2 linked regions of the Drosophila melanogaster genome follow. The protein of the gene in region 2 interacts with the protein of the main gene of each other region in a biochemical or structural test. Each region holds a gene or a part of one and is shown on either strand. Other genes may lie near its edges.

Region 1 (7,975 bases), on a different chromosome or scaffold from region 2:
TTACACCGGGGAAACAAAATCCAAATTCGTAACTGAAGGAAACTATACACACGCACACGTTAAAGCCTTACATAGCATACCCAGGGGTATGTACATATGCATATACATATACATATATATATATATATATATTTATATATATATATAAAAACAACAACATTTCTCGTTAAACCTAGTAAACATTACATTCTGACTATGTATTGTTTATAAATATAATAAAAATATATATACTTGTATGAATGATTAAGTGCCAACATAACAACAAAGCCGAGGGAACCAGAGGGCCCACTATGAACTACGATTTGAGGGGATTTCGGGTGGATCGGGAATCGATCTATTAACATGGCCGAGTCAGCTAGCCAGGTGGCTGCGGCTCCTCCGTGACTATTTAACGCTCATTATATTGAATACTGGACCGATGCGCATGAACACACGCCTAAGGACACTTCTCAGTTCGGGCTTGAGGTCGAAGCACATCATCTCGCACAGCAGGCTGTAGTAGTTGGAAACGTGGGTGGCGAACTAGCAAAAGAAATATGTGCGTTTTATTAACAACGGAACTAGAGGATATAGTGTATTAAACCAACTCACCCTGGCATCGGACATCTTGAGCAGGCGCGTCAGGATGAGCAGCAGCAGCGATGTCCACGCATCTCGGTGTGCCTCGCTCTGCAAACTCAAATAGTAGCCCAGTGCCTCCTTGCAGACCTGCACCAGTTCCTGCTCGATGCCGGGCCAATCGCTGCGTCTATTCTCGTCGCCGTACATCTTGAAGAAAATGCGCAGGACGCAGGCCAGCGACGAGGTCTCCTGCTTCAGCAGATTCGGTTTAACAGATCCCTTGAATCCCGCCCGCCAAAGCAGGCTGCGTTGGTCGTGATCGGCGTTGAAGCGCTTGGCAAAACGGTGCGACTGCATCAGACAGTCGGCCAGGGTGAGCAGCTGGCGGGTTCTCAGATAGCCGTACATTCCCTGCTCCTCCCGCTGGCACTCCAGCAGCTGCGACTGCGAACCGCTCCTGCCGCCTGTTAAGTCTGCCGCCGCCTGGGCCAGCGTTTCGGCATCCTCCTTGCGCGACGTGGCCGGGAAAAAGACAATGTTATCCATGGTCTGTATCAGTTCCAGCTGGACTACGCAGCGGATATGCAGCGCCTCAAAGTGGTTGTGCTCCTGGGGTATATTGTTACTGGAATGTGCTTTCGGCCGCCAACTGAGGAGATCCTGCGGCAAAGTGGCGTTGAAGATGTCCAGGATGCACTGGCACGTCTTGTCCCAGGTGGACTCGTTGAACTTGAATCCATTCGAAATGACGAGGTTCTCCAGGCAATTGGTGCCAGATCGCGCCAACTGCTCGTTACTCTGCTGAACACACCAATGCAGCTGGGCGAAGAGCTCCTCCAGCAGCAGATGACCAAGAACATCGAAATACTGCGTGAAGACATCAATAATAGCGTACAAGGCGTGGTTGCATGTGGTCGTCATCCATTCGGACTTCTCGGTGACGTGCTCCGGCAATTTCATGTTGTCGAAGATACGGAAGATCACATTGAAGAGATCCTTCCACCAATGGGGCTTGAAGCTCTCACCATACGTCTTCACAATCTCAAAAAGCACGGTTAAGGCGCGAGTACGCACATCCAATTTGCAGCGATTGACCACGCAGGAAAGCGAGAATAGCATCGGAAACCAGCCGCGCACCCAGACTCGATCCTCCTCGGCCACCGAGGCGTCGTTCTCCATGCCGGCATGCTCCGCAAACAGTTGTGGTGCCTCGTGGACGCACTGCGCGCAGGTACGGACCAGACGTATGGCTTCCATGCTGGTATCGGGGAATCTGGCGGTGGCGAACTCTGACAGGCACTTGACCGCATCCTGGAACGAGTCCACCATAATGGCGAACTGACGCTTGTACAGATCACCGATGATTTTGCCCGTGGTTTGGAAGGCCAGCTCCACAATTGGCTCTTCGTTGTCTCCCGCTGCCAGGTGGAAAATGCTAAAGATATTCTTCCAGCCGGAACGGATGTTATGCGCCTGTGAGTTTACCATCTGGGCAATGCAGCGCACCACCATATCTCGTATTGCCGGCGATGCGTTTTTCTTCATGATATGCTCAAAGGGACGCAGGAAATCCTTCTGGAAGCGGAAATTACTGAACTCGCCCTTCTCCATGAACTTCATCGACAACTGACGCAGTGAGTCCAGGGCGAAAAATGAGATCTCCTCGTTGCTATTGCATCCGACCGCGTTAAAGTGCTCACCCAAAACTTGCCAAATGCGTGACCACTGCAGACGAATACGCTCCATGTTGTAGTAACTAATTTCCACTATCTTTTGCAAGGAGAACATCCTCGGTTGCTGCTGCTGAAGCTCATCCACAGACACCTGGCACAGGGCCTTCACGAAGTCCACGATAGCATCGCCATCCAGTCGCATTGAGCCGGTGAAAATACGATCGACTGCGACCACCACGCTCTGGCTGCTCGTCTCGCCGATGTGTTCTTTCACGCTGGGATTAAGCGAGTCCTTGAGCGTTGTCTGCGCTCCAGAAAGAAACTGGGGCCGCACCCCAGTGCCGATCAGTTGGGCCAGCTCCAACTGGCTAATGCACTTCACTATATCCAGCCAGCTGCTGCCCAGATAATTGCCATCCGTGTGGGCTACCATTATAAGCGTCTTGATGGTATCGATATTCTTGGCCTTCATTTCGTTGATGGGCGAGTTAGCATTCAGGAGAGTAAACCTGGCCAGGGCTTGTACATAGGCATCTCGCTCCAGGGACATGTGGAAGATGCATGCGATTCGAATAGCACAACGTATACCATCCAAGCAGAGTGTAGCAATCTCAGGATCGTCGCAGTCCTGGAGACCCACAGAGAAAGCGGCCAGAAATGGTGTCCAAGCCATTTTGAACATGGGCCGGACATGCTCCAAGTGTTTCGCTGAGGTGAAGGGTGACTTGACGTGCGAAACTGACTGCATTAGATTGGTGGCCGTCAGCGAGATGACCTCCATCTCCATGTTCCACAACAGCTTTCTGCGTTTCTCCGTTATGAAGGCCTGCTTTCCAGTGGGTTTCGCCTGTTGAAGCATACCGGAGTTGTTCTTCATCTTAATTTCGTGTTCAGAAATCTCGTCGTAGATGGACGACAAGTACTCCTCGGGCAAATCGGACTTGCTGTCGCTGATGCCGCGGTTCATTTTAATGTACTGCTCCTTGGTCATCTTGTGCTTGACCTGCGGCGAATGAAGATCCGTGGTCAGCATAATGATGCTGAATGCCAGCACGTAGACGGTGTCTGCGCTTTGGAATAGCTGGTTCTTCGGATTGCATTCGCAGTATCTACTGGCGAACTTCTCCATCAGCCGATCGATTTTTTGTGCTTCTCCTGGCAGGCGGAACCCCTCGAGAAGAAATCTCAAGGCGGCCACCACCTCCATTTGGCGAAAGTCAAAGGCATCGATGTAAGCGCACATCACTTCCTTGGAGTGGTCGTCATTCTCGCCAATGTAGTTTCCGATCACTGTCTTGTCCAGTCGTTCGTCCTCGTGCAGCCAGCGCGCAATGTCCCCGCATGTGGCACCCAGCAACTGCTTCTCCTGCAGGAATTGCACTCCTTTCTGAGGCTTACGATTGAATAACTCAATGCCTGTTTCCATCACTTCCTTGCGCATCTTGCGCTCCTCCAATGCCTCGGGAAGATCCTGTAGTTGCTCCTGATTGGAGTTCAAACTATGACTGGAACCACTGTGCATCGTTTGGATAGTTGTGTCCGCCTGATCCTGCTCAGTGCTTGTCGGCGATTGGACTTGCATAGGTGGAACCGGCATGTTTGGATTAACATACAAGTCCTTACTCCACTCTACCATGCACTTAAGAATGGAGACAAGACACTCCAGGCCGCGAATGCGCATCGATTTCTCTTGCATCGGATTGGCGCCCAGTTCGAGAGCCTGACGACCCTGGGCAATTTTCGAAAGATCGTTGACCAGTCTCTCAAAAAGGTTTGCAGCCGAAAAGTCGCAATCGTAATTAACATAGATATCCACCACGGACTGGGCGTCAGCACAAATACGTGTCAGCGCTTGGATTACCATCCATTTGTGCTCGAAGCTGCTTGAGTTCGCCTCAAGAATGTTTAGGAAGATTTCCTTGAAGAACACCTCTATCTGCCGCTTAAGATGCACCTTGAAGTTCGAGAGTAGGGCAACGAAGATTGAAAGCGACAGCTCGAAGACCTCCGGCACCAGACTGACTCCGTTGTTTGACAAGGCCACGCACAGGTACTGCTTAATGGCCATGATGAACATCTCGTTGGAGCGGAAGACGGGCCCGGCATTCTGGAGGATGAGCAGCAGCAGATGCAATGACAGCACCTTGGAACGCAGCTCGTGCGATTTCGGATCTGGATGTCCATCCGGCAAAGGCTTCATCGATAGCTTGCACAGTGCCCGGAACACGAGAAAAGCATCTTTCTGCAGGATGTGCGTAAACTTAGCCGTTACAACCGCATCGTTTTCGCTGTGCAGCTCCACACTGTCGTGATCCGAGTGCGAGGAGTAGTCGTTTCCATTAAGTGTTGGCTCTGGCTCACCGACCGATTCCTGATCCTTCATCGCCTCATTGTAGGCAGCTGAAAAACGTAACTGTCATTATTTTCGCGCAATGATAATTAGACGGTTTGGAGGAGTGGAATTTTATGTTGGACCTTATCGTATCGTACTGTAAATGATTCATACAATTTTTTCCCATCCGATAAGAAATATTTTATGAACTTAATTACGTTTCTTGAAAATATTGAAAAATAGTTAAATCTAAGCGAGTTAAGTAGAATAATAAGCAACTTCAGCTTAACAAGAAACATCTGTTTATCAAACTTTCTCCACCGAGTGCCACGCACCTGATATGATCTCCGCCAGCAGTTCCGAGGCAATTACTTCGTCGGAATCCCGCAGCGACTCCTCTCCCGAGCCATTGCAATCCTCCGAGTGGATGCTGCCGTTGGTGGGATTGGAATTGGGAGGTGGTAGCTCGTACACTTGATTCTCCATGCGGGCAAATATCACGTTCAACATTTGGGTGAGCGTAGCGCGTGCTGTGGTCTGATTGACCAGGTTCTTGCTGGACAAATAGATGTCGTAGCAGGTGCGCACAGCTTGCAGCAGTGTGAATTCATGGATTTCCACATGCTGCGAGGTGACCACCGTGAGCAGAGCCTTTATTATCTGCAGTTGGACGGCCTCGTCCGTCTGGGGACCACTGAAGCAGCCATATATGGTCACAACGATACGGTCGATGAGCAGGTGACCCGGATTGGCCGAGTCCTGAATGGATCCTGTCAAATGGCCATAGGCAATGAGTTTCTGCAGGCAGTCCAGTGCGGTGACCACGATCCTGGGCGAGCGGCTCTTGCAGGCAAGCTCGAAGGGGAGAAAGTAGGTCTCCGCATTTATGATGCTCGCTGCATCATTCTTGGGCAGCGGGAGTGCGGCACAGGGCAGCTCATTGCCCTCTGCGATCTGGCCGGCACTGATTAGCTCCGCCTTAATCTGCTCCAGCGCCGAATCGCAGGACTTCTTCAGCTGCGAGTGATGGGAGCGCCGTATGTCCTTATCGGCAAGGATCTTTTCTAGAGCACGCACGATGAACATTTCCTTGGTTTTTGTGGAGTTGTTGTGCATATTGGGCCGCTGCCACTCCCAAGGTCGCCTTCGCTGGGTGGGTTTCGATGCCTCTTTCCCTACTACCACTGCTTCGGATTTCCCTCTGCCCACCGCTTCCGGAAACAACAGCCACGCAACTTTCGCCTGCTGCCTTCTGGGTGCTCCGCCAGCTGTGCGGAGTGCTCCTCTCGGTTGGATTGTCGTGTGGCGGCACTCGGTGAGTTTTTAGCGTGTCGTGGATGTTTGCATGTTGCAAATCTCTCAGTTTTTCCACATTTACATTCCCTTCAAAATACGAAAAAACGTCATCAGAAGTGTGACCGTGTAAGCGAAAATTACTGAGCTGTCGGCAGTGTTGGGAAGTTTTTGGTATTCTCTCGGTTTTGGTATTTTTGCTAATTTGCTGGTGTTATTGTTATTTGAATTTGTAACGGCGATTTGTGATAACAAAAGAAAAAAGTAAACAATAAAGTTATATTTAAAATAAATTATTTGTGTAAATATGTGTAGTAAATAGTACTTACAAATCTTTAATGAATATGTGTTCGTTATTCGTTCCCTACCTCTAATTTTCTAATACAAAAATAGTTCCTTAACGCTTGAGAAGCTAAAAAGTTAAAAAATGTATTTTATAGTTCGCATTATTGTAAATGTAAATTAATAAATTAGTTAATAAAAGGGGTACAAAAACACAGTGCTCAACTTAGGTTTGGATTGATTATGGACTACGCTATAACTGCCACTCCTTCGTTGGAATTTCCGCCATGAAGAGTATGTTTTCCATGTTGTTTTCGATTAGTCTGGCGTACTGCGCCGCAACCGCCGCTCCTTCGGCCGTAAATAGCCGATCCGCCGGCTCTGCGGTGGCCGGAACGTGCAGGTACCTCTGTGCTACGTTGTGCAGGAAGGGGTGAGCTTCGGCCAGTTCCTCCCAGAGCTGAAAGGGATCGGCTCGCAGGGTACTCATGCCGGCGCAAAAGTATCTGGCTATCTCATCGTCCGCCTCGGGACCGTTGCTGCCGTTTACAATCCTTTGCTTCCCATGCGAAAAGGATTTGAATGCCGCCCAGATATCGTAGTGATCACGGTTCTCCGGATGCTTTGCAACAGCTTGCTCCCCGCTGTCCACATGCGCCTGCATCATGTCATAGAGTTGAGTCATGTACTGGGCCACCAGGGCCCCACTCCGGAAGGGAATATTTCGAAAGCGTGGGTCCAGCAGACTTGCCAATGCCAGGTGCAAGTTGCGCTCCATTCGTTCGAAGATCTCCTCCAGCTGCTGAACCAGGAACAAGCGTATTTCCCTGGCAACCATGTGTTCCGCACTCTTCTCCTGCTTCAGTTCGTTGATCAGAGTTTGGGCAATGGGCAGGGCTGTGCTGGCCGCCGGATATGGTGTTCGACTTAGCTCACGCATGGAGCTGGTCAACGGCCTCAGCACGTCCAGCAATTGCTGACACAAATCCACCTCCGATGTCGAAAGCGGCAGCGGCTCTTGAACGAGAGTCTGTTTCAGGTATAAGTCTAGCATATTGTACACACTAATCGGTCGGTGTATGGAATCCAGTTGGGGATTCAGCTGCAATGTGGACTGCACATGGGAACGCACCTTGTCGCGCAAATGACGTATTTCTGGGCGCTGCACCACCTCCTCTAAAATAGAATTCAATTGGTCTGCGAAGCAGGGAACATGATGATGAGCGCCCATGAACGATGTCACCGCATCCTCCAGTAGTTGACTGCTCCTTGTCGACACGCAGCAGATCCTTGACTTTGGAATGTCGAAGCGCTGACACACTTGGTCCATGCGATCCACCAGATCGTTGGAGGTGAAAAGATCGGGAAGGCGCAGCACAGAAAGAGTTCGGGAGATTCGTTGCCGCCCCTCGTGAAAGTGGGCCACCAGCTCCATCCAGCTTCGACTCTCCGCATTCGTGTGCACCGAGCAACTTAGGCTGAGTGTCGAGATGTCGGCCAACTGCTGGCAGAGCTTGGACCTCTGCGCTTCCGACTCCCTGCAGATAATGGCCTCCAGTTTCGCCGCACTCGGTGGTCTGTAGGTGGGGCACAGTACTTTCACTAGGTGCTGGAATCCCTCGCCCTGCACAATCTGCAATGACTGGCGGTCACGGCAGACAAAGAAGGCAATGTCCTTGTGAAACGGACTCTCGCTCGGCAGAGGTTCTTCCATTTTTAAGTTGCTGGGTAATAAATGAAGTTTACTACAATTGTATCTATCTTCTACCTTCTATCTTTTGATTAAAACTTACTCATGGCCGGCAAATGGTACAGCATGAATTTGGGGAAGTGG
Region 2 (6,265 bases):
GGATTGTAGCCCAGCGGCGAAGGAATATCAGCATTTTTGCTGCAGGAAAAAGCAAAAGTGGTAAGAACTTGAGTCACCGCGCAGGCTAGCAATCCTTACCTCCCGTTAAAGTCCAGCGCCCACTTTAACTTTTTTGGGTTTTGCTTGGCGGACATGCTGTGCTTTCTTTTATTTAATCTTTTGCCAATTTATAAAACAAAATGACGATTTTTTCTGACAATTGGTCGCTGAGTGTTGTTCAACGTTAAATTCCGAAATTATTGTAGTGTAGACAATTCGATAGGCAACTGATGTGTATGGCACCAGGGTATCGATAGGCAGTTACGATTTTGCGCGGACTTTTTGAAACGCATGTGCAAAAATCGAACAGCGCAGTAGTTTTCATTAATATTTAAATTTTATTTCAAATTACCTTTTAAGTAGTACTTTCCTTTTTAATATGGTCTTATATATATGCGTGATTTTTAATGGATTTTGCGTGACCAAGCGACAACAAGAAACAGAAGGGTTAAAAATTAAAATGGTATTTGTTGTATTTTTAAAGAGCAATTACAATTACAGTTTTTTCTCATTAATATTACTTTAATATTATAAAATTAAAAAGAAATATATATTTTGATGAGGGGTAGGGAGAGGACAAAAATAACTTAAAAAAGACATTTTTATACCATATACTATAGTTTCCTTTCTTGTGTGATTGGTTGGGCTTTTCTTTTACTCGATTTGCTTTTAAACATCCAATAATTATGTATACGAATTTAAATTATATTATAGCGTTCTTTATATGCTGCTTGAAAGGTTATGTTTTTGCAATTCAATAAACAATTTCAGTTTCTTGTTTGGAAATACGGACATGCGGAGCCCTTTAAGTTATGCGAAGATCTGCTGCTCTTGTTGTTGGTGTTGGTGCCGCTGCTGCTGTTTTGTGAAAATTCCTTCTGATGTCGATTTCCACCGTTTACCGCTGGATGTTGGATGTCCTTCAGCCGCTCTTTCTATGGTTCTGGTTGCTGGTTAACTGCTTCGGCTCGCTTGAAATCAGAGTTAGTTGTATTCATATTGTTGCTTTAATTTTAGTGTTTAATTAGCGATTAGCGTTCTTCAATTGGTTGGACAGCCAGTCGAGTCCCTCGTACAGCCCATCACCGCTAGTTGCACACGTCGCCTGGATGTACCAGTTGCGGTTTCTGAGTGAGTGCAAGCCGAGCTTGTCGGTGATTTCGGCCGCGTTCATTGCATTTGGCAGATCCTAAAATGATCCCAGAAAAGAGCGAGGTGCAATATTAGTATGACAATATAAGGACCGAGCAACTGGCTACTGATAACGACAACCTTTGCTTGGACCTACCTGTTTGTTTGCGAAGATTAGTAAGACTGCATCCCTCAGCTCGTCCTCTGCCAGCATGCGCATCAACTCCTCTCTCGCCTCACCGATACGCTCTCGGTCATTGCTGTCCACGACGAAGATAAGACCCTGTAACGATTCAAATGAAAACTTTATTCCAATTGTCCTGGCTTGAATCGTAGGAGATAGATCTCTAAGATAATATAGTCAGTCCCGTCTTGAAACAAAATAAACTTGAATAATCACAATGCATAATCATTACAAGCTGTTAACATCATATAGAATTTTCTGGAATCTGTGGAAAAGCTGAAATCACACTTACTTGTGTATTCTGGAAGTAGTGCCTCCACAGGGGACGAATTTTGTCTTGGCCACCCACATCCCACACTGTAAAGCTAATATTCTTGTATTCTACAGTCTCCACATTGAAACCTAGGGGGACAACCATTAGATATTAGATTTGGACAAGATACATTAAAGGTGCTAATAAGATACTTACCAATGGTAGGTATCGTTGTAACAATTTCGCCTAATTTGAGTTTGTACAGAATTGTGGTTTTACCAGCGGCATCCAAACCGACCATCAATATCCTCATTTCCTTTTTGCCGAATAGGCCTTTGAATAAGTTCGCGAATACGTTTCCCATGGCTGCTGTTTGTCTTTCGGATGCTCGGTAGTCGTAGGAAGTTGGATCTCTGGTTGGCCTGCTCGCTGTCTGCTGGCTGGAATTATGACAAGTTCAAATCCGAGTTGCTATACCGATCAGAATATGCAAACTGCACACTTGTGTGCATGGAGTGGGAGAATCTGTGAAGAGTCCAAAAATAGACAGTTGTAGGCGAGAATTTTTCGTGGTAGGAAGAGCTATCACAAAGGACGGATGCGCCGAAGCTCCTCTGGTGTTTGTTTCACTTATGATCGCGCTTACGTGTTGAATGGCGCTTACCCACTCTGAGTCATACAAAAACCGGAAGAGCGGAAAAACCGGAAAAAGAAACGAAATTCGTTTTTGTTTATTGTAATAAGGACGTCTTCAATGCGTCAGCATGAGAAAAACAGAAAATTTGTTTATGTAATTAATTCCACACTTAAATACAACGCGAAATGGAGGATGTATGAAACACGAGTCGCTTGCTTTTAGTGTTTGCCCCGCTAGCGGCTGCTGATAAGATATCGATTTTTAGTATAGAACCATGACGGCTGTCGGCGCTCAGCGCCTCCCTTCCAACGTCCTCCACCCACTTTACACAGAGTACGCAAGAAACGTGCGGGCTGAGAAGTGCGTGAATGATAAGGCCAGGTAACTTGCAGTTTTCGGCGAACTTGCTGGGCGGAGGGGAAGCTCCCAAACTCTACAGTGAGTCACCGCTGCCGCCTTTTGAGCCCTGCAACCGAGCAGGCTGCAACCGATGGCTAAGCAATTCATGTTAAAATGGAGGAACGCAATGAGCAAGCCCGTTTCGCACGAACACAAAAAGAAAAAAGGTTGCCAGCGAAACATACGGAAACCTTTCGTTTGACAGCAATCGGATATCCAAAAACCTAAGTTTGTTACAGGGAACTAACACCCCAGAGACTTCTTCTCCGGACCGGTAGTGCGCAAAGATAGGTGCTCCACGTTACTGAGAAGATGCTGATGCCAGCTGACGATAGTTGGCTTGGAAGCAGCCGAAATCGAAAACTACACGTAGCAGCTTTTAATTTAGCGCTGAGGGAAGCGAGGCAGCCCACCACCGCACACTCACGCATACACCCGCAGGCGCCAGGGTTGCCAACTGCGTTGAGCCGCCCTGCCTTTGCTGCCTTTAATGCGTTTAAATAGAAGCTCCAGGCGGAGGGCGTCACTGCTCGAAGATGAACGCTTCGCCAGCCCACGCCCCATGTTCAGACATTTCGCAACTAAGCCCACTTTCGGATCGGGATCAGACAACTTTGAACTTTATACGTGGTTGCCTGCGTCTGTGTGAGTGACGTACGCTGTTTTTCTTATGGGTTGGTGAAATGCGGCTGCCGCCGTCCCTTGTTTTTACAAGAATACAGAGACCGGTCCGAAGTTACTTGGACTTCTTTTAACTGAGATCCTTTTAGCTCAGTGACACTTTACACGTCCATTTACCGATTATTCTGCCTTTTTTCGTGGACTTTTCTTTGATTGAATTTTCTATGCTGCCAAACACACCACACACCGAATTGCGAATAGAAAGATAATGGAGAGAAATGTATCGATAGCATCCGCTACCGATAGTCGATGAGCACAAGTCACTATTGTCTGCCGAACAGAGATTGTAAAATGTTCCCAATTATATAATTTAGCTATCACTTTTGTAATTAAAGGAGAGCTTGTCCTTGTCTCCTGTTACGATAATGCTATAAACAAAGCACCGACGATTAATTCGTGCGGCTTCCAATACTAATACTTCCACTATTCACCACAGCCGCGTACGTTGCGCGAGTGTTCGTGGATAGCCCACACTAAACACTCACACGAACATCTACATTACTGCGGAACTTCTTAAAATCAAGAAAAGTATCTCTGCCTTGACATACCACCCCCTTTTTCGACTGAAAACGCATACGCACCAACTAATTGAATCAAATGCACACGGCTAGGAGCGGAAATTTTAAAAACTTCTGCTTGGAAATGTCTAAAATCACAGAGCAAAATAAAACTTGACCGAGAATACACTTGCTGTTGAAAAAACTGCAAACTCACCAACATAAACGTTGCCGATAGAGATGGGCGCAGCGCATGAGCTAGAGCGGGATGCCGATGTTGTGTAGTCCCGTGGTGAAAACTCGGGAAATGCTGCCACGTCTCTTCTCCGCCACCTCGGCTAGAGTTGCCAACGATTTGGATTAATCGATTCATCATTGTCGCACAATGCTCACTCGATAAAGTTCACTATCCAGGTGATTTGAACTAAGTTAAATGTTAATATGTTTTACCCAAAAACACCATTTTTGGTGAACCCGTTGCTGGAAGCCGATATCCTTAAAGTGAATGTATGTACTTTCAATGTGCACAAATACGTATTTACAACAAAAACTGGCTTGCAAATTTTATTAACTGTTAATTCCTGGTTTTGTCAAGTCTGCTGCACTTGCTCCGCTGTTGGAATGGCTGTGCCTTACTCCCAAAGTCACCACTTACAGGGTGAACACTCTTAGGTGTTCCGTTGACGACTTTCGGAAAAAGTTAGAAGAAAAACTCGCCATTCGCTACGGTGTAAAATCTCCAAGGATTTACTGCTTGCCAAACCTACCCGAGATGTTGTGCATTGATCCGCTGGACTCACAGCTCACCAAAGCTGTGGCCGACTCCGAGCTCAAGGAGGTAGTGGTTGACACTAACTGCGGAGCTGCACTACTGCGAGGCGCCCACATATACGCCCCCGGTGTTTTAGCTATGGAGTCAAACACTGAGCGGGAGGAACTCGTCAATGTCTACGCAGATCTGGATGGAAAATGCAAGCGCGGGACGGTCAAGCGGTACGAAAGCCCAAATAAGGTTTTCCTGGGTACAGGCAAGGTGTTAATGCAGCGGTATCAGCTGTTCAACAACGCGGAGAAGCCCGCCTCTGGAGTGGCCGTGGAAATGCAGTCCAACGTCAGCGGAGTGCCCACGCTGGGGGATCTAAGCAGCGAAGACGGCCTGTTGCAAAACCTGCCTTCTATTGTTTGCGTCCGTGTCCTGGATCCGCAGCCCGGCGAGCGCATACTGGACATGTGTGCCGCTCCGGGTAACAAAACAAGCCACATAGCCGAGTTGATGGGCGATCGGGGATCTGTGGTGGCCCTAGACAATTCGGCCAGTCGCGTCCGCAGCATGCTGCCCAAATTGGGACACTACAAAAGCATAACGGCGCATGTTTTTAACTCCACCGAGGCAGTGGCAGCGGACGCTCCATCTGCACCCGTGGGAGAATTCACTGGGCCTCCGTTTCCATGTGAAAGCTTTGACCGAATCTTGCTCGATGCACCCTGCAGTGGGCTGGGCAACCGGCCACAGTTGTCCTGCAGCATTAAACAGGTTAAGGTCTTGTCCTCATATCCCCATATTCAGCGCCGGCTATTTGAACAGGCAGTGCAGCTCGTTCGTCCTGGCGGCATCCTTGTATATAGCACGTGCACCGTCACCGAGGATGAGTGCGAATGTCTTGTGGCCTGGGCACTAAGAAAATTTGTCGAGCTGCGGCTAACAGATGCCACTCCCCGGTGGGGCGGTCCCGGACTTCCGCTTCCCGGTTTCGAGGCATGTAAATCTCGTCTGTTGCAGCGCTTCGGTCCAAGCGGAGCAAATGCGGACACTGTGGGCTTTTTTATTGCGAAGTTTCAGAAAATATAAATAAATTCAACTTCACTGAAATTTTTTGTTTATTGGGCTCGATAATTTAAACATTCGTTTTGATTTGCAAAAGTAAGCCGGCTTATGAGTGATATAAGTGAGACCTACGCTAGTGGTATTTGATCAAGAAAATTTCAACCCTACGCTTAGAAAAGCATTTGAAAAATGCAGTCTGATAACATTTAGGCTTTGCTCTCCCATAGCTGCTTGTGCTATCTTAATGGAGATACATAATGTTATCTTTTTGTTTTCGAGTTAAAAAGAACTTAAATAATTTACAATTCATAACTAATGTAATTTTACTTAAATCTAAGTCCGTCATTGTTATTTAACGATTCTTGTTAAAAGCAAAATTATGCATTTCGGGAACTTTAAAACTTTCTACGACAAAGATTTACTTAATGATTTTACGAGTTGTAAGTTAAAAGGAAGTCAAAAATATTACCAATCATTGATGGGACCCCGATAAATGCATGTTTTGTTTGTGCTTGAGGAAATTACTAAATATGATGAGAACATCGATGAAGGCTTTTAACGCTGGCGGAATCTCTCACCTTGACTGCAGTGATAATTA

What was found.
Region 1: of the proteins of Arf1 (region 2) and Sec71, one has a biochemical effect on the other in vitro, tested with the Drosophila melanogaster proteins (one study listed by BioGRID).

Annotation. Positions count from the first base shown.
Region 1 is NT_033779.5:13,791,555-13,799,529, reverse strand, and holds the start of Sec71 (secretory 71), read right to left. Parts: upstream 6,010-7,975; 5' UTR 5,683-6,009; coding exon 4,902-5,682; intron 4,635-4,901; coding exon 592-4,634; intron 523-591; coding exon 385-522; 3' UTR 1-384. Other genes in the region: CG16863 (uncharacterized protein), read right to left, coding at 6,395-7,865, 7,935-7,975.
Region 2 is NT_037436.4:22,867,998-22,874,262, forward strand, and holds Arf1 (ADP ribosylation factor 1), read right to left. Parts: upstream 4,235-6,265; 5' UTR 4,060-4,234; exon of another isoform or gene 3,816-4,059; intron 3,728-3,815; exon of another isoform or gene 3,323-3,727; intron 3,091-3,322; exon of another isoform or gene 2,850-3,090; intron 2,298-2,849; exon of another isoform or gene 2,218-2,297; intron 2,154-2,217; 5' UTR 1,993-2,153; coding exon 1,845-1,992; intron 1,778-1,844; coding exon 1,668-1,777; intron 1,626-1,667; exon of another isoform or gene 1,548-1,625; intron 1,475-1,547; coding exon 1,349-1,474; intron 1,250-1,348; coding exon 1,085-1,249; 3' UTR 511-1,084; downstream 1-510. Other genes in the region: EMC4 (ER membrane protein complex subunit 4), read right to left, coding at 1-39, 100-155; CG11109 (uncharacterized protein), read left to right, coding at 4,284-4,349, 4,438-5,691. UniProt on the Drosophila melanogaster protein: Small GTPase involved in protein trafficking between different compartments. Modulates vesicle budding and uncoating within the Golgi complex. In its GTP-bound form, triggers the recruitment of coatomer proteins to the Golgi membrane.